Rattus norvegicus: one gene and its partners. The protein of the gene in region 6 purifies or fractionates together with the protein of the main gene of each other region. This does not show direct contact. Links are inferred from orthologs where the notes say so. Each region holds a gene or a part of one and is shown on either strand. Other genes may lie near its edges.

Region 1 (3,500 bases), about 9.2 Mb from region 6:
CCTTTGGTATTTTTCTTTTCAGGATCTTCTCTTGGAGATCTACAGAAGTATAGGAGAGCCAGACAGCCTGTATGGCTGCGGGGGAGGGAAAGTGTTACAACCCCTTACCCGGTAAGTTGCACCTTTCAGATAGTGATTCTGCCTTTCGAAGGAGCTCCATGCGCACAGAAACAAAAGATGTTTTCACCGTCATCTCTTACAGAATAAGGACGTACGAGCATGAAGCAACGTGGGAGAAAGCCTTAGTGACATACGACCTTGAGACCACCATCTCCTCCTCCACCCGCCAGTCGGGAATCATCCAGGTACACTGCCATCCGTGCCTGCTTCCGTAAAGCTGTCGTCAGTGGAGTTAGGCTGTCAGACATTAGGCCAGCACCTCAGTACACATTGGAAAGCTGCACAGGTCACTGTAGTTTGTTGATAATACTTTTATTACCCAACAGCAGAAGACACTTCTGGAGTGTGTACAGTATGCCTGCCAGGAGACACTCGTAGTGCTTCACATGGCACTAGTTTGCTTTAGAGTTGGTCCAGGAAACTGTCCTATCTTTTACTATAATAGGCTTAGGTATCTTTCCACCAAACATTAACATTCTCTGAGGAGAAATATACACGCTAAGCAATATTTTAGAGTTTTAAGTGATACTGTTAATTAAAATTTTTGAAATTAAAATTTGGGGGTGGGGGCTGGGTTTCTCGCTAGTTCAATGGTTCTCAACCTGTGGTCGCGACCCCCTTTGTGGGCTGGCTGACCTTTTCACAGAAGTCACATGCAAGATATTTAAATTACGATTCATAACAGCAGCAAAATTGCAGTTATGAAGTAGCAGTGAAAATGACTTTATGGTTCGGGGTCACCATAGCATTAAGAATTGTACTAAAGGGTCTCAGGATTAGGAAAGGCTGAGACCACTGGTCTACTCTATCCTGACGTATTTGATCATGTATTCATTTTGTGATAACTTCCTTTCAGGCCTTGCAGAACTTGGGGCTCTCCCATATTCTTTCTATCTACTTGAAAGGATTGGACCATGAAAGGAGAGAGTGGTGTGGGGAACTGCAGGAGCTTCATTACCAGGCGGCGTGGAGGAACATGCAGTGGGACCTCTGCACTTCTGCCAAGTGAGAGCAAACCAGCCTCTCCCCACTGCTTCTATCTGACCCTGAAACTGTGCATTTGGTTGTTTTCTCTATGAGTGCTGCTGGCTTTTGTTTTTTAATATATTGTACAGACACTATGGGCCGCACATATGACTAAATATTTAGTATACAATAGGCAGCTAGCACAATGAAGGTTGAATTTCATTCTTATTTTTTTCCACCAGAGAAATTCTATCCCCTGCTTCAAGTGTTTTGTAGATAGAAATTTTTAAAAATGCCTTTTCCTGTGAAAATATTGATTGTTGAATTGAGGAATCTAAAGACAAGTGTAGGCCTTCTCCCTACCACTTCTTGCTACATTGTAGTCAAAAGCATTTCTATTGGCTGGGTGATAAAATCAGTTACCTTTGTTAATGTTTTGTGGTGGTGGTTGTCGTTGCTGCTGTTAAAAAGTAGTGCTAGGCCAGGAGCAGTGGTGCACTGGGAGTCACAGGCAGGTGGATCTCTGGTTCGATGCCAGCCATGACTACATAGTGAGTACTAAGCCAGCCAGGGCTACCACAAACAGATAACCAGGCAGTTTATAAAGTACTGCCAAACCAAGTTACCCAAGAAGATAAAAGTTGTAGCCTGTATTTCAAATCATTGTATTTTTTAAATGAAAACCAAAACACCTAGACTACTAAAGGATTTAATAGTTACATAAAAAAGTCTGATAGAATGCTAAAAAATTAAGTCATTTTAATTACTTTAATGGAAAAATGTTTTCATAAATTGGAGTGTTTATCAAATTTCATGTTAGGAGTGGTATAAAAAGCGGATTTATTCATATGTAGGTGAATTTTCTGTGTTTGTTTTGAGACAGTTTCTCTGTGTAACCCTGGCTGTCCCGGAATTCGCTCTGTAGACCAGAAGATCCTACTTCTGCCTCCTGAGTGCTGGCACCAAAGGCTCGCGCCACCACCACTCAACTGCTCTCATTTTAAATATTTATTTTAAATGTAAAATTGAGAACCAACTAGAATTTCTAAGTTTTTGGTTTTTTTTTTAAAGAATTTAAATGACCTGTAAAATGCTTTCCTCTTCTCACTGCCTTTTACTGCTTTGGCTTGTTTGTTTTTTTTCTCTTTGTTTATATATATATTTTTTTTTTTTGGTTCTTTTTTGCGGAGCTGAGGACCGAACCCAGGGCCTTGCGCTTCCTAGGCAAGCGCTCTACCACTGAGCTAAATCCCCAACCCCCTTTGTTTATATTTTGAGTTAGGATTTTACCATGTGACTGTGGCTGGCCTTGAGCTCACTAAGATCCACCTCTCTCTGCCTACCAATTAAAGGCATATGCCGCTGCACCAGCTACATATTTTTCTTAATCTCTGCAAACTTTTATGAGAAATCTTAATTTTAGTTCTCAACATTGTTCTTTGAGTTAGTTATAGATGCATATCTCAGAGTTTTCCATTTTTAAATTTGTTTTTTAATCATCTCGCAGCCAAGAACTAGAAGGAACCAGTTACCACGAATCGTTGTATAATGCTCTGCAGTGCCTAAGAAACAGAGAATTCTCCACATTTTATGACAGTCTCCGACATGCCAGGTATTATAAAAAAGACAGATTGTTTTTATATTTGATGCTGTGGCTGCTATCCTCAAAATGTGAGTAGATTTAAATAAGAATTTGCGTCAGTGAAGGGATAAGACTTGGTGGCTGAGTTCAAGCGTTTCTTTGTCGTTCTTTGCTCTCAAGAAAGATTTTCTTGAGGACCTACGTCAGTTCTTCAGTCTGCGCCCTCTGGAAAAGCATGATAGTATTCTCTTTTGTACACGTGTCCTGGAAGAGTTAACCTTTGTCCTTTCTAGTTTCATGGCCTTCACTCTCTTACCATCATAGCTCTGCTTTGTAAGCTTGGTTTCTCTGAGGCATACATGGTGTAGCAATTAGCTGTAACAAGTTAAACAAACATGAATTTTTTTTAAGGTTTATTTATTTTTATATGCAGTGCTGTTTTTGCCTACGTATACGTCTGTGATCCCTTGGGACTGAAGTTACAGATAGTTGTGAGCTGCCATGTAGGTGCTAGGAATTGAACCCTGGTTAAGAGCAGCCAGTGCGCCTAACCACTGAGCCATCTCTCTACCCCCAAACATGAATATTTTAAACACTCGCCACTGACATCATAAATCCTATACATGTTGTTTGGTTATTGTTTGGTTTTAGACCCCAGAACAGGGGACTGAGGTGCATATTTTACACATCAAAGCAGACGTGGCCTCCTTGTTCTCCCAGCATCCCTCAGTCCCTGCCTGGTATACCTTGCCCCCAATCCTGAACTTTCCAGTCTAGGGGCTGGGCTGCCCTTCCCCAGAGGGTCTTCCCTATGTAATCCGGACATTTTGGT
Region 2 (3,500 bases), on a different chromosome or scaffold from region 6:
TACACCTGACAGAAATTGGGAAGATTTTAATCTTGTGACTGTTGTTTTCTGGCTAAAAATGTTTAAATTGATAGAACTCTTGCTCACCATACAAGAAGCCCTGGGCCTCACATTGAGGACCAAATAAAACTTGGCATGGTGATATAGTACTTGGGAGGTAAGGACGGTCAGATTAGAAGTTTAAGGCTGTTGTTAGCTACATAGCTGGTTTTCAGATATTGTCTTTTTTTTTTTTAAATGTATTTATTTTATGTATGAGGACACTGTCACGGTCTTCAGACACACCAGAAGAGGGCATCGGATCTCATTACAGATGGTTGTGAGCCACCATGTGGTTGCTGGGAATTGAACTCAGGACCTCTGGAAGAGCAGTCAGTGCTCTTAACCTCTGAACCATCTCTCCAGCCCCCCTCAGATATTGTCTTAAACAAAGGAAACCCTCCCAAAAATCCATGAAACCAAGATTTTAGAGTGGCAAGGAGGCCTCTGTAAACTTGGGAATTGAATAAAGTTGATACATTAATTGTTCTCTTATAAAAGCATGTCTGTTAGAAAGGTTCTTCTTGGTACTCAGCGTTACACCTTAGATCAGTTTTACAGTCAACGGGAACCTGAAACCTATGTAATTCTTTTTTCTTTAAGATTTATTTATTTATGGGGGTTGGGGATTTAGCTCAGTGGTAGAGCGCTTGCCTAGCAAATGCAAGGCCCTGGGTTCGGTCCCCAGCTCTGAAAAAAAGAAAAAAAAAAAGATTTATTTATTTATTGTATATGAGTACACTGTAGCTGTCTTCAGACACACCAGAAGAGGGCATCTGATCTCATTACAGGTGGTTGTGAGCCACCATGTGGTTGCTGGGAATTGAACTCAGGACCTCTGGAAGAGCAGTCGGTGCTCTTAACCGCTGAGCCATTCTCCAGCCCCTAAATGCTCTTTTTGTGAATATTTAAATTATATTTTGCAGTCCTGGAGTTCAAACACAAGACATAGCAGTGCTTAGGCTGTGCTCTACAAATGAGACATAACGCTAGAACGCTGTTGAACATTAGTTCCAAGCTTGTTTGTATCTTGTTTTGGTGCTGTGGATCACACTGCCAGCCTCATTCACGTGACCTCATATATGTGAGGAAACATTCAACACTGAGGTAGTTACACTTCAGTCCAGGAAGTTCCTTTTCTGTTCAAAGGTGAACAAACTAGTAGAAGCCTGTCAAGAGGCTAGGGCTCATCTGATAGCCTGTTCTTCCTCTTCCTTCTCCTCCTCTTCTTCCTCCTCATTTTTGTGTTGTTTTGTTTTTGAGACACGGTTTCTCTGTGTGGCCCTAGTTCTATAGGAACTCATTATGTAGATCACGCTAGCCTCAAACTCACAAATTCACCTACCTTTCTCAGCATCATGCTCCCCCACTTTCCCCAAAAGAAGTGCTAGGACTAAGGTGTATGCTACTGTGCTTGGGCTCAAATCTTTCTGAATCTTAAGCTTTTTATCTGAGACAATAGTTTAATGTTTAGTGGGTATGCTGATTTTTCCTTGAATAGTTTCTTAATTCAAGGATTTAAAAATTACACAGAAACGTATACACAATTCCACTGTCTACCCCTGCCATCATGTCTGCCACGACTCCTGTAAGGTACCCAGTTTTAGTGTTGTCTTAGACAAGTACAGGCAAATAAAAGTAATTCTTTGATTCTGAGTGACTATAGGTAGCCTTTTGTGTTTATTTATCTGTGTTTCCTTTATTCACCATTCTGTTTGGTCAGCTCTCGGAAGATAATTTAGTATTGTTTATAACACTGAAAAGTCACACAATGCTGCCAGTTAAATTGGCATGCTGGTAACTTACCTGTTGACTGTATTGTATCTCTTCTTCAGAGATGTAGAGCATTGGAAAGAGTGTTCTCTTAGCACCCATTGATCCTGGCTCTCTATCAACTCAGCTCCTCTTAGTTTTTGACCTCCACAGTAACCTCAGCTCTATATATGTATTGAGTTATTTCTGATCTTCTGTTCTAAGTATAGTAAGTAAGTGTGTACCATGTGTGCTGATACAGGGCAATTATGTTGTAGACAGACACTTAGGAGAGACTTGTAGTCAAAGGGTAAATGCAGTTATTAAGATAGTCCCGTGCTTTTTATATATGGTGTGCCTTATACTTGACGAGATAGTATATGTATTTTGCTCACTGCTGTTAATAGTTTGTTTCTATTACTAAGTTTATGGTTGAGTGTTTAATTATAGGGCTTTACATGTATTTATTTATGAATCATGTAGTCATGAGTTTTGCCTATTTTTTCTTATTTTTCTGATGCTTCTCTGGTGTAAGTTGCTATTTTTTTTTTCTCCATATTTGTCACTTGCCTTCTGACTTTGTTTATGCTAGTTTTGCCGTACGCCACCGCTCTCGTTAGGTAGTGCCATTCCTTCATTCGCACTCTGGGTTTTAAGTTATGAGCTGTTTCACATCTATGCTTTATTTGTATTTACGAATTTTAAAATTTTAATTTTTTTTAAGATTATAACTGTTATCATTTCTCCTTCTCTCATACCAACCAACCCTTTATAAACAAATCACCCTTGTTTTTCCTGTAACATACAGCCCCACATTACTTTTTTACGCTTTTGATCTGTTTGTACTTTATCTTGGTGTATAGTGTAGAAAATGGGCCAACTTCTTTCTTCATTGATGTCACTCTGACTAAATGATTTAAGCATTGTAGTTTGTTTCTGTCATTTTTTTCTTTCTGCCCTTCTTCCCAGCCCAAGTAAATCTTTTCTTGTATAGTTTTTACATAACTATCCACAGTTTTAGGGGTAAAAACAGATAAACTCGTTTTGGGGGGGGGGTCCTTTGGAGCCATGATAAATTTGTGAATTAATGATACTTTTATGTTGGTGCCTGTCTGATAGGTTCTGTTCAGTGGTAGCTGTTCTGTTGGGACAGACAGAGGCAAGAGCCAATAGTTTATATAACTTGGTTATTTTTTTTAAAAGCTATAGAAAAGTGGTGACTGATGTGAGAATCTTTTCATCATTGCATGTTTCTCAGACTACATTTTTAGACTTGCTGCTTTAGAGAAGAAAAGCCAACTTTTTGAAGACAAGAAGTAGTATTTTAAGATTTGAGCTAAAACTTAAGAGTAGCAATTTTGTGTTTTTGCTATTAGGTAAAAGTTTTATTTGTGAGAAACCTGGCTACTACAGTGACAGAAGAAATACTAGAAAAGTCATTCTCTGAATTTGGAAAACTGGAGAGAGTGAAGAAGTTGAAAGATTATGCATTTGTTCATTTTGAAGACAGAGGAGCTGCTGTTAAGGTAGGAACTTTGTATTCTTTGCTGTTTGTTTCAAACTTGGTAGACACATAAAGTAACTATTTGAGATTGTAAAATTATGAATACATGTGTATATCTATGTGAGGGTCTGTTGTGCACACACTGAGCATGCAGGTGCCCAGTGATGTTCAGAAGAGGGCACTGGATTCCCTAGAGCTGCAGGTA
Region 3 (2,402 bases), on a different chromosome or scaffold from region 6:
AAGAACAGTGTGGCCCAGCATCCCGGAAGCTGATGCTAGGAGCTGACATTCAGAGCCAGTCTGAACTACACAGTAGGATCCTTTCTAAAGCTGAGTTAAAAAGGATCTTTGGTTGGGTGTGCTGGTACATCCTTTATTCCTAGCACTCCGGAAGCAGAGGCAGGCAGGTCTCTACTGGTCTATGGGGAGTTGTAGGCCAGCCAGGGCTAGAGTCAGATCTGTTTTGAAACAGTTTGCAGGTTAACCTGTGAGCCTGGACATAGCAAAGAGAACATATTTAAACAGTTGTAAGCAGTTGGGTTCAGAGATGCAGCCACCAATGTACCAGGACAGTGCATGCAAAAAGTAAAAAGAAAGGGAGAGGTGGTGAGGCAAGGTCAAAGGTCAGGTGTCAGGAACAAGATCAGTGGGGAGGAACAGGTTAGGGTTTCTTTAAGTGACAAGTATGGAGGTCCTTGAAATACACACTTTTTAAGGCCTCCAGGGTATGGATGGAGAGAGAGGCAGATTTCTGGATTGGTTTGGGAGCTCACCTTGAAGAGGAGCTACTTCTTCAAGAGGAAAGTACAAAGTTTCACATTGTTGTATATTAAGTGTGGTGTTCAAGTAGATGACCAGCAGTTGCAAAGCTGTCTGAAATTCTTCTAGAAGTCACATGTGATAAGACAACCAGTCCAGAGTTGTAGGGAAAAATCCCTAAGGCTGGCAGTTCCTTAAACCTCCACAGAATTGCAGACCAGTTCCCAGGAAGGGTCACCAGCTAGAGCGTTCAGGTTCTGACACCTACAGCCACATGGGTAGAATGTCTCTCCTGATGACTAGTCCATTTGGAAACTTAATAACTCACTATGTATCCCTAGCTGACTGACTTCAAACTTGTATTTCCCTCTGCCTCCTAAGAGTGGAGGTTACAGGCATTCCTGGCTTGGAAACTTTAAGTGGAAAAGAGGACAATGCAGGCCCAGGGCAGGCTTTGCTGGGGATGTGGAAGCTCTACAGCTCACCAGGGGCAGGGCAGGCAGTTGGACGTTAGTTTGTAGGCTCCTGGTCACTTAAGTAGTGCTTCTAAGCAGTGGTGCTAATCTGACTGGTGGGATGGGCCAGGGTCCTGGGCGGGAAGTTCAACCCTCTCAACTGGAACAGCAGGAAGAAGTGCTCCTCAGAGCCCTTGAGATGGCTCAGTGCATGGAAGGGCTTGTCACACAAGCCTGGCCACCCGAGTTTACTCTGTAGAACCTATGGTGGAAGGGGAATGGACTCCCATGCGTGTGCATGTTGTGTACAGGCACATGTGGCATAGTAAATTAACTGTTTAAAAACAGTATCCCAGAGTATTGACTGTGAGGTCTTTTCCTTTATAGAGTTACTCACAAAACCTGTGTCTTCTGGCCAAGTGTTTCCTCGACCACAAGACATTGTACTATGACACAGACCCCTTCCTTTTCTATGTAATGACGGAGTATGACTGCAAGGGCTTCCACATCGTGGGCTACTTCTCCAAGGTCAGCACTCACAAAGGCTGTCCCTCAGCCCTGCCCTGAGCCTGGCCTTCTTTAACCCACCTACTTTTTCCAGGAAAAGGAGTCCACAGAAGATTACAATGTGGCCTGCATCTTGACTCTGCCACCTTATCAGCGCCGGGGCTATGGAAAGCTGCTTATTGAGTTCAGTGAGTATGGCTGCCTGATCCGGTGTCTGGTAGGCTGGCAGGCCAGGCCTATGTGGGTGTTCCTTTGCACGCAGACAAACCAGTCACCAGGAGAGCTGCCAGAAATAAAGGGATACTCCACCAAGGCCTTTCCTCAGTTGACTGCCCTGTTTCCTGGAATAAGTTCCCAGCATCTACTTCTCTTTGGCTAAAGGCCTACAAGCCACCAAATTTTTCCCAAATTGGAATCGTGTGTTCTCATCTGGAGCTCTGAGCAACCTAAAAAGTCTGGTCAAGGACCAGTGGTTCTGTTACTAGGCATGCCCTAAGCGAGCCTTGCAGGCAGTAGGTTCAAAAAGGTATACGGCCACTAAAAGACAGACTCCTGTCCTGCTTCTTTGTAAGGCTAGTCTTTTAAAACCCAAGCGGGCTCTGGCCCCTTTTGAGGACACGGACTCTTTTTTTTTTTTTTTTCTTTTTTCTTTTTTTTTTCCAGAGCTGGGGACCGAACCCAGGGCCTTGCGCTCGCTAGGCAAGCGCTCTACCGCTGAGCTAAATCCCCAACCTTAAGGCTTTTTTTTTTTTTTTTCCTTTTTGAGGACACAGACTCTTAACTCTGCAGTCTCATCGTTTCCTGCTGTTAGTCCACCCAGTCCTGTTCTGTTCATTGAACTGTTCTCTGGCTCAGGAGTCAGGGAAGAAGCTTTCGCTTTTCTGCTGGTGAAAACACAGGTGTCTAACTTGTTCAGAGTCG
Region 4 (3,500 bases), on a different chromosome or scaffold from region 6:
CAGGGCTGTACAATGAGACCCATGTCTCTGGGGGAAGGAGGACAAGGCCAGAATTACAAAGGCCAAACAGTGCAAATTACCCACACCTCTTAGTCAGCTGTGAACGTTTGTAGACCGCAGACTGTTTGCCTCCACTCTTTGAAGCTAGCTTTGGAGCCACTGAGTGAGCATGACTTCCTGTGTTGTGGAGGATGGAGAAAGATGGGGATGCCTACAAACAGCAGCAGGAGACAAGTGCTAAGCTGTCTACCAGAACTGCTTTCTGAAAGACCCCTGCGACTGTCTGCCCAGCCATATCACATGACATTCATTTGAGACAAGGTCTCACTGTGTCATCCTGGCTGGCCTAGGACTCAGAGATTGGCCTTCCTCTTTCTGAGTGCTGGATTAAAGGTGTGCACTGCCACCCCAGGCTTCATTCATTCATTTGAGAATTTCACACTCAAGTGCTGTTTATACAATTTTCATCCCAGGTTTTCCTCTCCAGCTCCTCCCATGTTCCTGCCACTCCCTCTCAACTTCTTGACTTCTTTTTTCTTTTTTTCTTTTTTTAAGACTTTATGAGTGCTCTATCTGCATGTACACCTGCACATCAGAAGAGGGCGTCAGAACTGGTTACAGATCATCAAAAGCGACCATGTAGTTGTTGGGTCAGGACCTAGGAGAGCAGCTAGTGTTAACTGTTGAGCCATCTCTCCAGCCCCGTCTTTTTATCAGTGTTTTACACGTGTACCCCTCCCCCCTCACTCACTTTCATTCTCGATCTCTCTCACCTCCACATGCATACACACACATAAATACAGCCCGTTGAGTCTACTTAATGTGGATATCTGTACATGTGTTAAAGGGGAGGGGGCTTGTCCCTGGAAGACAGCGCGCATTTATAGGACCTGGAAAGTTACTTGTTTCATAAAGATGAAATGTTCACTGTAGAGAGAATAGAACTACCAGGGTGGTTTGGAAGGTAAAACCAGTTGCTTCCAAACCTGGTGACCAGTCCCAGTTCCATTTCTGGAATCCATGTGGTGGAAGGGATATTGTTTTCTTGACCTCCTCATGCATGTGTGACACATGCCCAGCCTCGTGGGTAGGTGGGTGAGGGGTATGTGTGTTCCTTCCCTCCAGAAAGAAAATAATTCCCAAAGCAGATGGGAATAGTGTGCACTGCACTCCCAGTGTTCAGGAAGTAGAGGCAGGTAGATCGCCACAAGTCCCAGGCCAGCTAGCCAGGGCTACAACAGCAAGTTCTCAGGCTTGGGAGCAAGTGCCCTAATCCTCTCTGAACCATCTCATCTCTGGCCCCATGTTCCAGCCTTCCACTGTCAGTACAGCCTCGGGTAACCTCAAATATGCACACACACCTTAATGTGTTTGAACAGGAAAGGAGAAGCCAAGGTTCTATTACCTTCATGGCTCTAGTCTCTTTTAATCTGGGCTTGTGTGCATGACATTGACTCTTTGTGGGATGTTTCTGAGTTTGGGGTTGCTGGGTGTTTGCTCATGGGCATAGGTTTCGTGCTTTTGGCCAGAACACTTTAGAAATGAAGCTGTAACCAAGGGCCCTCCCTGGTGAGCAATTAATTGGCTGTCAGGTAGATCTGTTGTTTTCTGTGATACAACTTGATTGTTTCATTAGAGTTTGGTTTGGGTTCCTCCTCTCCATAGCTGGTTTTCCCCCCCTATTAAGAAGTGACTTTCCTCCATCTGTCCCTTTGTCTCACTATAAAATCAGTGGACTCTTTAGAGATAGGATTTCAGTGTTTAGCCCTGGAAGCTTAGTGTGTAGCCCAAGCTGGCCTTCAACTTCCTCTTACCTCTGGCTTCTGAATGCTAGAATTACACTTGTGAGCTTCTGTGGCTTCCTCTTTGTTTTTGAGATGGTGTCTTCCTTGTAGCCCCGGCTGACCAGGTCATTGCCATCCTCTGGTCTCAGCCTTCCAGGTGCTGATTATGATTGAGCGCCACCACACCCCTGTTTGGGCGTTGTACCCTTTTGTTGCTAGACTTGGTCAGTAGGTGCTATGCCCGTCCCCTTGTGGGATCCCTGTCTCCTGTTAATTGTCTTCACTGTAGGTTCATCTTACCAATTTCCCTCAGAAGCCTGAGACTTGAGTGGAGAATATTTAGAAATCAGGATTTGTTAATGAGCTTGGTTCTTGTTCCTTTGGCTTTATTTTGGGGGTACTACTAAATGAGTGCTCTGATTAATGATGGTGTTCAAGTGGCTTGGCCTTACCCCATCCCCCAACTATGAGTGTTTTATTCAGCTGAAATATGTTCTGCTTCTGTTGGTTGCTGGGTTCCTGTTTGTGTGGTGAGAAGCTGGTAACACCAAACCCACCTCAATAACCCAGGGACTCAGTACTCAGAGAGCAGCTTCACACACACCCATTAACCCACAGTCTTCTGATTCACAGTGTGCAGGTCAGTAGTGCCTTTAGACTCTGGGTTTTCTGTTTTCTCTTTCTTTTAACACAGATGAGCGACTTTATTTTCTGACTTCATCTGAACATATAGTAATCCTTTTTAAGACTCAACTATTAGGGGCTGGAGAGATGGCTCAGTGGTTAAGAGCACTGACTGCTCTTCCAAAGTCTTCAGTCTGAGTTCAATTCCCAGCAACCACATGGTGGCTCACAACCATCTGTAATGAGATCTGATGCCCTCTTCTGGTGTGTCTGAAGACAGCTACAGTGTACTCAAATCATTTTTTTTAAATTTACAGTAGTGTAGCACTGTAACACCACCAACTCCTCCATGGCTCTCCATTTCTCACACCATGTTTATCATATTTAAAAAGCTAATCTTAGGGGTTGGGGATTTAGCTCAGTGGTAGAGCGCAAGGCCCTGGGTTCGGTCCCCAGCTCCAAGGGAAAAAGAAAAAGAAAAAAAAAAAAAGCTAATCTTAGGCAGGCATTGGTGGTGCACACCTTTAATCCCAGCATTCCAGAGGCAGAGGCAGGCAGGATCTCCAGTTCAAGGCCAGCCTGGTCTACAGAGTGAGTTCCAGGACAGCCAGAGCTACACAGAGACCCTGTCCTAAGGGGTGGGGGTTGGGAGTGTAAACAAACTTAACAGCTCAGTCCCCTTCCTCTTCATTCCTGGAAGTATTTTTAACTGTGATTCTTCCTTTTTTTCTCTTTGTAGAAGAAACTGCAGAGGAAATCCGAATTGCTTAGTTGGGATTGGCGAGCACATTTGGTTAGGAGAAATAGATGAGAATAGTTTTCATAACATTGATGACCCCAACTGTGAGAGGAGGAAAAAGGTGAGTGACTGCAGTTGGCAGGACTTGGTTACTCTGGTTGTTGTTCAGTACCTTTGATCAGAAACCTGTTCACTGCACATGCACCGCAGTGGGGTGGGGCTGCATGCCATCCCTACAACTCCCTCCCCTTTTAAAAAAAGAAGAGTGAATCACCACAGCTGTCAGTGATCTCGGTGACCTGTGTAGGTGTCAGGACAGGAGACACGTGGCCACATGCATTTGAATTTCTGCT
Region 5 (3,500 bases), on a different chromosome or scaffold from region 6:
TGTCTAAGATCAACTGACCAGTCACTGATCAACTGATCACTGTCCACACGGCTGTCTTTTGACCCAGTCTGGTCCATCCCTGAAGCCATGATGGATGCAGCACTGCTCATCTGCAAACCTGTTCACAGGTCTCTGTGCAGCCCCTGGATGCAACAGTTCCCATCTGTAAATCTGCTCTTGGACACGGGTGATACATCTGCCAACCCCTCCCAGAATGCTGTGCCTCACCAGGCCTTAAATTCCCTTCCTTCAGAATCTCAACTACAGACTACCTCCGCAAACCACACTGATGCTAAATTAAATACATTTACATGACAATTCTGCAAAATCTTTTACCCTTGGCCCATCAACCTTCAGGAAAACCTTGGACTTCCTGAACGTCTCCCTCCTCCCTGCCCACTGAAGAGAACCTCATTAGTAAGCTTGTTTGCTCCATTTTCCTAGGCCATCGGGAGGCTACAGTGGAACCAGGCACCCTGGGAAGGTTGGGTGCTCCTTCCACAATGGGTACTATCTCAAGTCCTGTAGGGATATGTGGTAGTGAAAGCGTGAGTGCCACGTCAGCCAATGGGGAGTCAAGTCTCAGCTCCTTCACTCACTGGCTAAGTGGCTCCAGGACTGTCACTGATGCTCTCTGAGCCTGTCATTTCCAATCCTGCTCTAAGGGTCAGGTAGTAAGAGATGAACAAGGTGCCCAGTCCTTGTCATGCACCTCCATCTCCCACCCAGCCAGAACAGCCAGGTGTCTCCTTTCAGTCCTACTGCAAATCTAGGTCCTCCCTGTGGCTCCAGACCACTCTAACATGTGAAGGCTTTCTTGGTGTATCTGCTGCCTATTTTCAGGACAGGAGCACAGACGCAGAGCCCAGCCTACCTTCTTTCCCGTGCCTTCGCCTGCTCTGGTGTTTCAATTTCTATCTCCACTGCCTTCACAGGCAGGTCAGACCGCGAGGTAGCAGAATTTTCTCCCATGTCCAGCACAGGCTCAGTAAGTTCTACCAACAGTAAATTTAAAGGTTAATAACACTAATTGGGGCTGGAGAGATAGCTCAGTGGTTTAGAGCCCTGACTATAGAGGACCTGGGTTCAATTCCAGGCATCCACGTGGTGAATCACAGCTATCTGTAACTCTAGACCCAGAGGATTCAACACCCTCTTCTGGCCTCCATGGGTATCATGGGTACCATGGGTATCTATACTCACGGTACAGACATATATGCAGGTAAAACACTTATACACACAAGTTAAAGTTAACAATAACGATAGTCAATATATGGAACAAAATCGGGGTTCTGCTGGACAGACAAAATCAGGAATAGATAAACACTCCAGATTGTTTATCTGACAAAACCAGATATTCTAAAATGCAAGAGGCCAGAACTTTTCAAAGCAGGCATTGCTGTAAAAAGCCAAAGAGGAAAAGACAATGCCTAGTATGGTGGCACCCATCTGTAATCCCAGCACTCAGCAATGAGACCAGAGGTCTTATGGTCTTGTGTCCCAGGTCAATAAGAGATCTCACCTAAAAAACAAAACAAAACAAAACAAGGCCTGGAGGCTGGCAAGACTGTACACAACCTGAGGAGACCTGACTTTGGGGCTGGATCCCACAAGGTGATAGAAAAGAACTCTTGGGAGTTGTCCTCTGATCAAACACACATCGTGCGCACACACACACACACACACACACACACACACACACACACATAAAACACACACACATTCACACATATACATCCATACAATAGACACACACACACTTTAAAAACAAAACCAAAAAAAAAGCAAGAAACAGGAGTTGTAGCTCTGTGGCAGAGCACCCTCCTAGCATCCCTAAAGCTATAATCCTCTGTACCACAAGTAATTAATAAAGGTAATACACGTGGTGGGAGTTAAATTAAAAGGCATTTACAAACTCAACCACCCCTGGACCTGAATTAGAAAGAAAGAAAGCAAGAGAGCTCTAAAGACTTTTTTTTAATAACTGAGGGTTGTTTTCGTGTTTGGGGTGTGATGAGGCAGCTCTGCCAGATAAGACGTCACTACCTTCTTAGTAAAGGTTTGCTCAAGTATTCAAAAGCCGAGCTTTAGGACTAAACAGAGAAAGAAACACTCAATATAAAGGACTGGGTGTCCAGACTACTCTCTCTCTTGGTAATTTGAACCTTGTCAAAATAAAAGGCTGAGGAAGCATGCCCACAGAAGGAACCATGGATTAGCATTAACTACGGCTCTTTCTCGTGGTGTAGACCTGAGGCATACAGCACTTGCAGACTTCCTCCCCAAATTCTGCAGGCTGACTAGGCACAGCTCAGTTATATGCAATTTGCATAACGCTGCCAGTGAAGAGACCTGCCTCAGGCAAGCAAAGAACTCGCTCTACAGCTATGTGAGGTGGTGCTGGGCTGGAGTTAGGACTACAGGGCTTTTCTAGGTGCACTCTTCCTCCAAACTGCTTCTGTCAAGTGCCTACTACAACTGTATCTCAAGATGGTCTGTTACAAAGAAAAACAAGATTGCAACATGTGACTTGGCTCTGAACAGCAAACAGAGAAGCAAAGTTCAGAAAAGGAGACAGGCACTTCACCTTCCACCTCCTCCCAGTCATCCTCGCTGTCATCTTCATCGGTGCCTTGGTCCACCACCTCTCTTTTGGGATGTTTCTTTGCCTTTCTGCAGTTACTCAATGAGTCCCTGTATAGGGATCAAAGACACAGAAGGCTCACTCACATGTCCTACTGTCACACTCAGGCTGGGCAGAACCTACAGGAGTCCTTCTGTTGACTGTTGCAATCACATCCATGAAATGATGGACAGCTGACTCTCACAAGTCCCAAGATTGAGGTAGGAAGAGCGCCAGTGTAAGGCTGCCCTGGTTACCAAGCAAGACAAACCCAGAACCTATTAACTCACAATCCTTGAGAAAAAGAAAAAAACAAAAAAAATAAAAACGAAGCAAAACAAAAACCTTCCTGTACCTTGAAAAGACGAAGGCAAAATTAAAACAGCCACGTGGTCCTAGGAGTCCGGGAGAACTGAGGTAGCTGGGCACACTAGCAAGTAGCTGGAGGCCAAGGAGAAGGCTCACACCAGGAGAGCTGTGAATCAACTCAGAGTGCTTTTCTCCCGTTAGAAAATGTAGCCCAAGGACACTGAAGTTGGCACACCTCACACGGGGCAAGTAAGGTGTGACCACACAAGAACCTGTAACCGGTCCAGGCTGGGTGGCTGCTCACAGAGGAAACCCCAGCAGATAAACAGCTGGGTACCCAGTGAGATGCAAGGTGAACAGCTGCCAGTGAGCTGATACGGTTCCGTAGACTCATATATAAACCCCAAAACCCCTCTACAGCTCTGGGTTACTTTGGGCCTTGTAAATAAACATTATTATAACTTGGTATTATAACTTGGAAACAGCCAAGATTTTAGCACACATTTCGGACCATCAAAGTCTTGAGCTTTAATAAAGCTCCAAAAACCCTCTGTTTTTGTTTATGTTT
Region 6 (3,094 bases):
CTGGGCTAGGGCTAGAGTTAGGGCAACATACTCCAAGGTAACCTCACATCTGACTATCAAATTAAGTGTTCTGATTAGGAAGAGCAGAGGCAGGGCCATGTGCTCAGAATGGTGACAATAAAGGATTGCCTTTTACTTGTTCCTCTAGGTGTAGCCACTCCTTCCTCCTTTCTTTTTAACCTTTGAGGTTCTTATTGAACCCTAGGGCATCCTTATACTTAAATGCTCTACCACTGAACTATATCCCAAGCTCGACATATTTATTTTTTTATATAGGCATTTTAGAATAGATTGAAAGGATTAGAGTGGGTACCTTTTCCAATAGGATCCCTACCCCTGCTCCCCTCAGACCCTTTCTTGTAAGAGAGGTCTGTCACATACTGAGACCAGACAGAACATATCAAATAAATATTACAGCACAAACTTGTGATAGCATAATGGATAACGGTGCTCCGTTTTCTGGCACAGGATTAAACTCTCAGAAGGTTTCATTTCTTTCATTTTAAACCCTCCCTTTTCAGCCAAGCCTTTAATCCCAGCACAAGGGAGGCAGAGGCAGGCGGATCTCTGAGTTCCGGGGCACCAAGGGCTAATCAGAGAAACCCTGTCTCATTAAAATAAAAGCCAGATGGTGGTGGTGCACGCCTTTAATCCCAGCGCTTGGGAAGCTGAGGCAGGCAGATCTCAGAATTCGCAGCCAGCCTGGTCTACAGAGAGATCCAGGACATCCAGAGTTACACAGAAAAACCCTGTCTCGAAAACCCAAAAATAATAATAAAGAACAAGCAAATAAATAAACCCTTCCCTTTGCCAGATTAGAGGAGGGAGTAGGAAGTGCCCTAACCTGGAAGGAGAAAGGTGCTTACAGTGAAGACCCTTTTCCTTTAAAACCACAGGCCGGCTCAGATTTCCCAGAAACCATAGAGGTAGCTCCAAGCTCCACCCTTCTAGTCTTCGGGTTTGTGGGCGCGCCGTAGCGTTTAAATTTCGCGCGCTCTATACTGATTGGCCATTTCCAAGGGTGATTCGCCTCTGGCTTGCAGCCACTCCGCCTTGTCTTCTTCCCCGGGTAAAAGGTTTTCAAATTGGACCAATCGCTGAGCGCGTTCTCTCGGCTATGGCGCGTCACCGAAGGGTTAATTGCAACCAACCAGAGGTGGGTATTAAAAAAAGAACCAATTAGGCGGAAGCGGGGGCGTGTCCAGAGAGTTTATAAGGGCGAGCTTGCCCGCGCGAGGCGACAGTTGACTGCGGCGGTTGGCGGTTTGTCTCCTGGCGTTTTTCTCAGCCCTTCTACCTCGCACACGATGTCGGGTCGCGGCAAGACCGGCGGCAAGGCCCGCGCCAAAGCCAAGTCGCGCTCTTCGCGCGCCGGCCTTCAGTTCCCGGTAGGCCGCGTGCACCGACTGCTGCGGAAAGGCCATTACGCCGAGCGCGTGGGCGCAGGCGCGCCCGTGTACCTGGCGGCGGTGCTCGAGTACCTCACTGCCGAGATCCTGGAGCTGGCGGGCAACGCGGCTCGGGACAACAAGAAGACGCGCATTATCCCGCGCCACCTGCAGCTGGCTATCCGCAACGACGAGGAGCTCAACAAGCTGCTGGGCGGCGTGACTATCGCGCAGGGCGGCGTCCTGCCCAACATCCAGGCCGTGCTGCTGCCCAAGAAGACCAGCGCCACCGTGGGGCCCAAGGCGCCGGCGGGCGGCAAGAAGGCCTCCCAGGCCTCTCAGGAGTACTGAGGGAGCCCGCGCCGCGGCTGCCCAGCCCTCCCCCACCTCCACAAAGGCCCTTTTAAGGGCCACCACCTCCCTCACAGAAAGAGCTGAGCCACTTCGGGCTCCGGCCCGCCGCGTCCCCATCCCATTCTCTCCTCTCAGTCCTCGCGTCTTTACCCTTCCCTGTGCGGCCTCCGGGTCTGCCACAGGACGCGGGCGCCGGGGCACCTACCCATCCCGGAGCTCGTGACATCGCTTCGCCGTTCTCAGTCGTCGACGGGCTGTGCGGAGAGGTTGCGGCACCTTCCACCTTCCAGAAATCTCGGCCCTTTGCTATGACGTACGGCCGAGGTGGGCTTGAAGGTTAGTTAACCACCACCACCACCCCCCCCCCCCGCAGCTACAACCCCAGCGTTTTCAGCTTGGTGCTTAGCCCTCTCCTGGACCTTTCAGAAGTGAGTTGATTGCCGGACTTTGGTGAGAAGCGGATCATACTGTTTCACTCTGTGTCCCCCTTACTGGCCTCTCAAACCAGTTGACCCTGTCGTCATTTGTAGGCCGGCATGTTATAACGTGAAGCCAATTTTTCCAAGATAAACTGGAAAGGGTCAGGGAACGCCTATTGGCCTGTGGACAGAAGAATTGTATACCTGCCGCAGAAGACTAGAGGAGCCGGGCCTAGCTATCCCTCTCCCTTAACTCAAACTACAACCCAAACACCCAGATACCAGCACAAGTCGGTGAATCCCTGTCTGGACTGAGCCTCTGGCTTCTGAACTGGAACTTTTGCAGCTATTACAAGTTTAGAACCTTAAGAAGTGGGGAGATTCAATGGGCTAATTTTATTAAAGGATCGTTTTTGGTTTGTTTTTTTTTTTTAAACGGAGTGTCTGATTTAATTTTGAATGCCTAACTTAACTTTGAATGCTGTAGTCCCAGGGCTGGACATTTACAGCTCCATAGTCGAGGAGCCATGTGCCCAGAACATCTCGTGGGAGGGAGTGGGACTAGAGGATAAACTTACCTTCCTTTCTGCAGGCACTGGGAATGAAAGGCTATGTGAAGATCCTGTTAACTAAAGACAGGCAGGCTGTAGGGATGAAGGCTAGTTTCTTTGCTTGGTTGAGAATGATCAGGATGTTTTACAACAGAAAGGTCCCAGACTCAGAATTCAGGTTTAAAAGGGCTTTGGGTTTATTCATATCTTCCCCCAACTCCAGGAGAACCACATTCTGAACTGATTAGTGGCATTGGTTACATTAAAAGATTGGCATGGACTTTCTCTAAAGAGATGAAGCCCACAAACTACTGAGGGAAAGGCAGTCATGGAGGCCCCAAGTTGAGGCATATCTTCCAAGGCCGAAGTCTCAACAACTCTG
Region 7 (4,211 bases), on a different chromosome or scaffold from region 6:
GTCTGAGTCATCCATGCAGCTGTCTAGCTTGGACTTGAGCTTACCCATAAGCCTGGGGTGAGCCTTCCCTCACTTCCAACTGTCCCCTTCTCCCAGCTTAGATATCTAAACCTCTGGAGGAGAGGGAGGAAGAGGGAAGGAGAGAGTTGTTTTGTTCCCCCTCTCCCCTGCCTCCTCCTTGGAACTTACAACCCAGTTTGAAGAGCCTTGTGGGTGCAGTTGAGAGATCCAAGTTGAACTGTGCTAAAGATTGTCACCGGTCTCATAGTTATGCCTAACTCCAAGCCTGACCCTGAACTCTGAGCTGGAATTAAACATTAAATTGGTCACTTTTCCCCACCCCCAGCCCTGGTGGGAGGGCCCGGACAATGCCTTTCATCCTCCCCAAACTTCACTCAGGCCATTTCTCCACCTCAGTCTGAGCTCACCAGCCATACAAAGGGCAGAGCCATGAGTCTTCTGCAATGGACATAGAAGGACAGACATCCATCTAAGCTCACTTCGCCTCCACTTCACCCCACCAGCAAGGACCTAGGTGTGTATACTCACCCCAACCCCCTTCCTGGAAGCCCAGCCTCCTCGGGTAGGCTCAGTTGAGAATAGAGGCAGGTGGCTAAATATAAAAAGTCCACACATCGCCCGGCCCCTACCCCATGTGTGTACACACCACCTGGTGTCCCAGGCCTGGACAGCTGCACTGGGGGCAGAAGACACAGAGTGGCTCAGCTAGATGAACAAAAGCTCTATCTTCCACTCCCCCTGTCCCCAGATCTACTAGACAAGTTCTGCACCAGGATCTGCAAGAGCTTTGGTGGTTGACTTAAACTAGTTTAACTATAGCTTAACTAACTAGTTAACTCACTGGGACTCCTCTAACTTGCCTCATGTATTTCTTGATAAGGTATTCATATCCCTAATAGAGAAAAGACAGGTAATTCCTATTAGCTGAGAGAAAGGCTGGACCCATCTGTGCACATGACCTCCGCTCATACTTGAGAAAATGAGCTTGCCACCACCTATGGCTGGGATCTGGTAAGGAACAGAATGACCAACCACTGATAGTCAGTGGGCTCTGTCAGAAGATAATGCAAAAGGAAAAAGAGGAAGAGAAGTCTAAGCTACCAGAGCCTTAGGTATCTGCACGCATGGCCAACGCTCTTTGGCTTGGTCTACAGCATAGAAGAAAAGATCCCAGACACAGAGCCTGTGGGAGTCCCGGGAGCCAGGGCCCACACTCCCAGGCTTTGGAAAGTCCTTTTAGAAAGAAGGTGGAGTCGAGTAGGGTGGGGCAGGGTGGGGCAGGGATGGGTGAGGTGGGAGTGGCCTGAAGCTCTCTAACGGCTGGATTTCAAAAATGTCATTGTATTCCAGCAGTTTAATAAGATCAAGACATCAACAGCTTGGAGGATGGGCCAGAGTAAAGTCTGGCTTGGCTAGGAAACCGGAAGTGGCTTATTGGCTGAGGGAGGAAAGGACAGAGCTTCCAAACCTTTAAGTCACCAAACAGAGAGGGCCAGGGTTGGGGAGCCCCAGACCCAGGCATAACAGATTTTCCAGGGCCATTAGCTTCTGTGCCCAGTTTCCCTCCCCACACTCTCTTGCATTCCTAGTCGAGGCAGGCCAAGGGCTGTGGGATCTGCGGGGGAGCTTCCTCCTGTGCTTCTGGAGGGCAGAGTCTAGGAAAGGTCCCAGACATTCCCAGCTCCTAGAACCAGGAGAAGGCCTTGCGTACACAGCCATGGGAGAAAGGGGCTACGCAGCCTTGGTGACCCCTCTACAATACCACCGGACAAATGTCTGTGTGAGAGATATGTTTTAGTGGACATCATGTGTTCAGAGTCACGTTGGGCAAAATTGGCAGAGTGCCAAATCCACCAAGAAAGTTCTAATAAAACCCTTTCACCCATTCTGCTGTGTTCCGGGCCTCATTCGGGAGTTCCAAGACCTGGTAAAGCCTGTTCTGCCTTCCTCCAGCCCATCCCCCAGGCTCCAAATGGCTATAAGATCCCACCTTGACAGAGTGAGGCCCTGTAACCAAGGCTACTTGGTCTCCATGCCCCACCATTCTTTATATCCCCCCACCCTCTCACAGAGACCCTCTCCCTGCTGTGTCCTGTCATGACTATTACCCTTGGCACTGCCAGTCACCCGCGGGAGGCAGTTCCGGGGAGGGAGGGGACTAGATGGCCAGTTATGGAAGACTGCTGCTTCCCTGGTGCTGGCCGGCCAGGCCTCACTCACCGCGCCTTCAGCTCCTTGAACTCCTCACGCACTTTGCTCAGCTCCAACTGGAGGCGGGCGCGCTCCTTGGCCACAGAGTCGAGGGTCTTGCGGGCATCCCCCAGCTCGGCCTCGTAGGCCGCCTTGATGCCGGACACCTCTCGGCTGACCACCTCTTCAGACTCAGTGATGCGAAGGCGCAGCCCCGCGTTCTCCGTCTCCAGGGAGCGCACGCGATCGATGTACACGGCCAGACGGTCATTGAGCTCCTGCAGGTCCTCCTTCTCCTGCAGCCGTGTGATCCGAGTGGGCGACAGCGGGGTAGAGCTGGCCTGCGCCCCACTGCGGGTGGCGCGCCGCTGAGACGGGGTCTCCATGGCCGGCAGGGTGGCAGTGCTGCCCGCTGGGCAGGGGTCCCGAGAAGGGCGCGGGACTCGGACAGAAGGACAGAGGCTGCTCGGGGGACAGCGAGCCGGCGAAGCTCGCTCCTGGCAGGCGTGGAGATCTGGGCTGGGCGCTGGCGCACCTCGGGATCTGGGTTGGCTGGTGTTGAGGCTGAGGCAGCGTTCCCGCGAACACTGAGTCACTGACAGCCGGGCAGAGACTCTAATAGGCCCTCCTCCACAGGGGGTGGATCCACTGCTCTTAAAGGAGCCATCCTAGACCCAAAGGGGCGGAGGCAGGTATGGTGAGGAGGAGCCAGCATGCTAACCCTCAGTCTGCAGAACACCCCTTTCTGGCCTGGGGCTTCACAATGTTGGTTCCTGCCTACTCAACTCCAAGCTTTGGCCTTCTGGGGTAAAGGGCAGAGTAAAGGAATGAGAGTGGGTGGGCGAAGGGTAGTGGCGAGGGACCAGGGGAAGTAGGTGCAAAGTGAGGGAGAGAGCTAGGCATCCCCAGGGAGCCAAGGAAGCTGGGGGAGGGCTGAGGCTGCTGCCCATCAGTGACTCACCCACTTCCACCACTGGCTCCCCTTTCCTCAGTAGTAACAGTGAGTCACCTCTCCCCCACGCACAGGAGCGGCCTATCCAGGGCTGCATTTCAGTATGCCAGGAGTGGGATGGCAAAGGAACGTCTGGGTTTTTAGGTAACTAACATATTACTTTATGCCCTCAAGTTTGGGGCAAAGATCAAGGGCCTTTTTTTTTTTTTTTTTAAACCTATGCACTTCCCTTATATTTCTGGCTTTAAAACCAAACATTGGGTTTTAGATCTAAGGAATAAGCCTCAGTCCCCAAGAGAAAGCCAAGAATAGAAGCCAGAAGCTGGCCCCTCCCAATCCCCCCTCCCCTTTCATTTGGACCCAGACAGTTGGAAATGGCTGTTATAATCCCTCCCTTTCAGCCCCTTTCTTCAGTTTACTCCACCCAGCCAAGTCCAAGACTGTACTTATTTTTTTCCAGGACTGTACTTATTTTAATGGATAATTTAAAACAGATACCAGAGCTGTGCGTGCATTCAACACATGGCTAGGACACCAGGTTCCAGATTTTTGTGACTGCAAGAAGGGCCTGAAAAGAGGAATGGGGTCGGAGGGTTATTAATGCAGGGTCTCCATCTGGGTTCCATTCCTAACAGTGGGAGCACGAAGAGCAAAGCCACCCCTCCTCAGCCACTGCATGCCTTTCTAGCCAGTTATGAGTGGGCCCTGACTAGACTATCTCCCAATACAGTAACCCTGGTCCCAGGTTCTTCAGCCTCCATCAAAGACTCTTGGTCAGCTGTCTAGTCCTCTCCTGTAACCCTAGCCTAAGCTGCACTGGCCCCATCATCCCCTCCTGCAATGGAGCCTTCCCTGCTCATTCCATGGAGCACTCAGGGCACCGATTAACCTGCCAGTTCCAGAACTGGACAGGTTCTAGGTCGTGGGCTTGAGTTGGGACTCTAGGAGATTTTGTTGTTGCCATTTTGCTTTTTCAAGACGGAGTTTCTCTACGTACCCCTGGAACGCCTTTTGTAGACCAGGCCAGCCTTGAACTCAGAGATCTGCC

The links.
Region 1: the proteins of H2ax (region 6) and Atm purify together in Homo sapiens (affinity purification with western blotting; 11 studies listed by BioGRID and IntAct, with this or other methods). This does not show direct contact. The link is inferred for Rattus norvegicus from reciprocal best matches to the Homo sapiens genes H2AX and ATM.
Region 2: the proteins of H2ax (region 6) and Hnrnpr purify together in Homo sapiens (affinity purification with mass spectrometry; 3 studies listed by BioGRID and IntAct, with this or other methods). This does not show direct contact. The link is inferred for Rattus norvegicus from reciprocal best matches to the Homo sapiens genes H2AX and HNRNPR.
Region 3: the proteins of H2ax (region 6) and Kat5 purify together in Homo sapiens (affinity purification with western blotting; 3 studies listed by BioGRID and IntAct, with this or other methods). This does not show direct contact. The link is inferred for Rattus norvegicus from reciprocal best matches to the Homo sapiens genes H2AX and KAT5.
Region 4: the proteins of H2ax (region 6) and Usp48 purify together in Homo sapiens (affinity purification with mass spectrometry; 3 studies listed by BioGRID). This does not show direct contact. The link is inferred for Rattus norvegicus from reciprocal best matches to the Homo sapiens genes H2AX and USP48.
Region 5: the proteins of H2ax (region 6) and Xpc purify together in Homo sapiens (affinity purification with mass spectrometry; 3 studies listed by BioGRID and IntAct, counting the BioPlex papers as one, with this or other methods). This does not show direct contact. The link is inferred for Rattus norvegicus from reciprocal best matches to the Homo sapiens genes H2AX and XPC.
Region 7: the proteins of H2ax (region 6) and Lmna purify together in Homo sapiens (affinity purification with mass spectrometry; 3 studies listed by BioGRID and IntAct, with this or other methods). This does not show direct contact. The link is inferred for Rattus norvegicus from reciprocal best matches to the Homo sapiens genes H2AX and LMNA.

Annotation. Positions count from the first base shown.
Region 1 is NC_086026.1:62,752,130-62,755,629, reverse strand, and holds part of Atm (serine-protein kinase ATM), read left to right. Parts: intron 1-22; coding exon 23-111; intron 112-202; coding exon 203-305; intron 306-976; coding exon 977-1,125; intron 1,126-2,593; coding exon 2,594-2,698; intron 2,699-3,500.
Region 2 is NC_086023.1:153,850,519-153,854,018, forward strand, and holds part of Hnrnpr (heterogeneous nuclear ribonucleoprotein R), read left to right. Parts: intron 1-3,167; coding exon 3,168-3,317; intron 3,318-3,500. UniProt on the Homo sapiens protein: Component of ribonucleosomes, which are complexes of at least 20 other different heterogeneous nuclear ribonucleoproteins (hnRNP). hnRNP play an important role in processing of precursor mRNA in the nucleus.
Region 3 is NC_086019.1:212,326,992-212,329,393, reverse strand, and holds part of Kat5 (histone acetyltransferase KAT5), read left to right. Parts: intron 1-476; coding exon of another isoform or gene 477-593; exon of another isoform or gene 594-1,355; intron 1,356-1,361; coding exon 1,362-1,502; intron 1,503-1,575; coding exon 1,576-1,669; intron 1,670-2,402. UniProt on the Homo sapiens protein: Catalytic subunit of the NuA4 histone acetyltransferase complex, a multiprotein complex involved in transcriptional activation of select genes principally by acetylation of nucleosomal histones H2A and H4.
Region 4 is NC_086023.1:155,090,538-155,094,037, forward strand, and holds part of Usp48 (ubiquitin carboxyl-terminal hydrolase 48), read left to right. Parts: intron 1-3,147; coding exon 3,148-3,268; intron 3,269-3,500.
Region 5 is NC_086022.1:125,568,085-125,571,584, forward strand, and holds part of Xpc (DNA repair protein complementing XP-C cells), read right to left. Parts: intron 2,695-3,500; coding exon 2,588-2,694; intron 996-2,587; coding exon 875-995; intron 1-874. UniProt on the Homo sapiens protein: Involved in global genome nucleotide excision repair (GG-NER) by acting as damage sensing and DNA-binding factor component of the XPC complex. Has only a low DNA repair activity by itself which is stimulated by RAD23B and RAD23A.
Region 6 is NC_086026.1:53,567,479-53,570,572, forward strand, and holds H2ax (H2A.X variant histone), read left to right. Parts: upstream 1-1,239; 5' UTR 1,240-1,307; coding exon 1,308-1,739; 3' UTR 1,740-2,594; downstream 2,595-3,094. UniProt on the Homo sapiens protein: Variant histone H2A which replaces conventional H2A in a subset of nucleosomes. Nucleosomes wrap and compact DNA into chromatin, limiting DNA accessibility to the cellular machineries which require DNA as a template.
Region 7 is NC_086020.1:176,255,436-176,259,646, forward strand, and holds the start of Lmna (prelamin-A/C), read right to left. Parts: upstream 2,801-4,211; 5' UTR 2,598-2,800; coding exon 2,242-2,597; intron 1-2,241.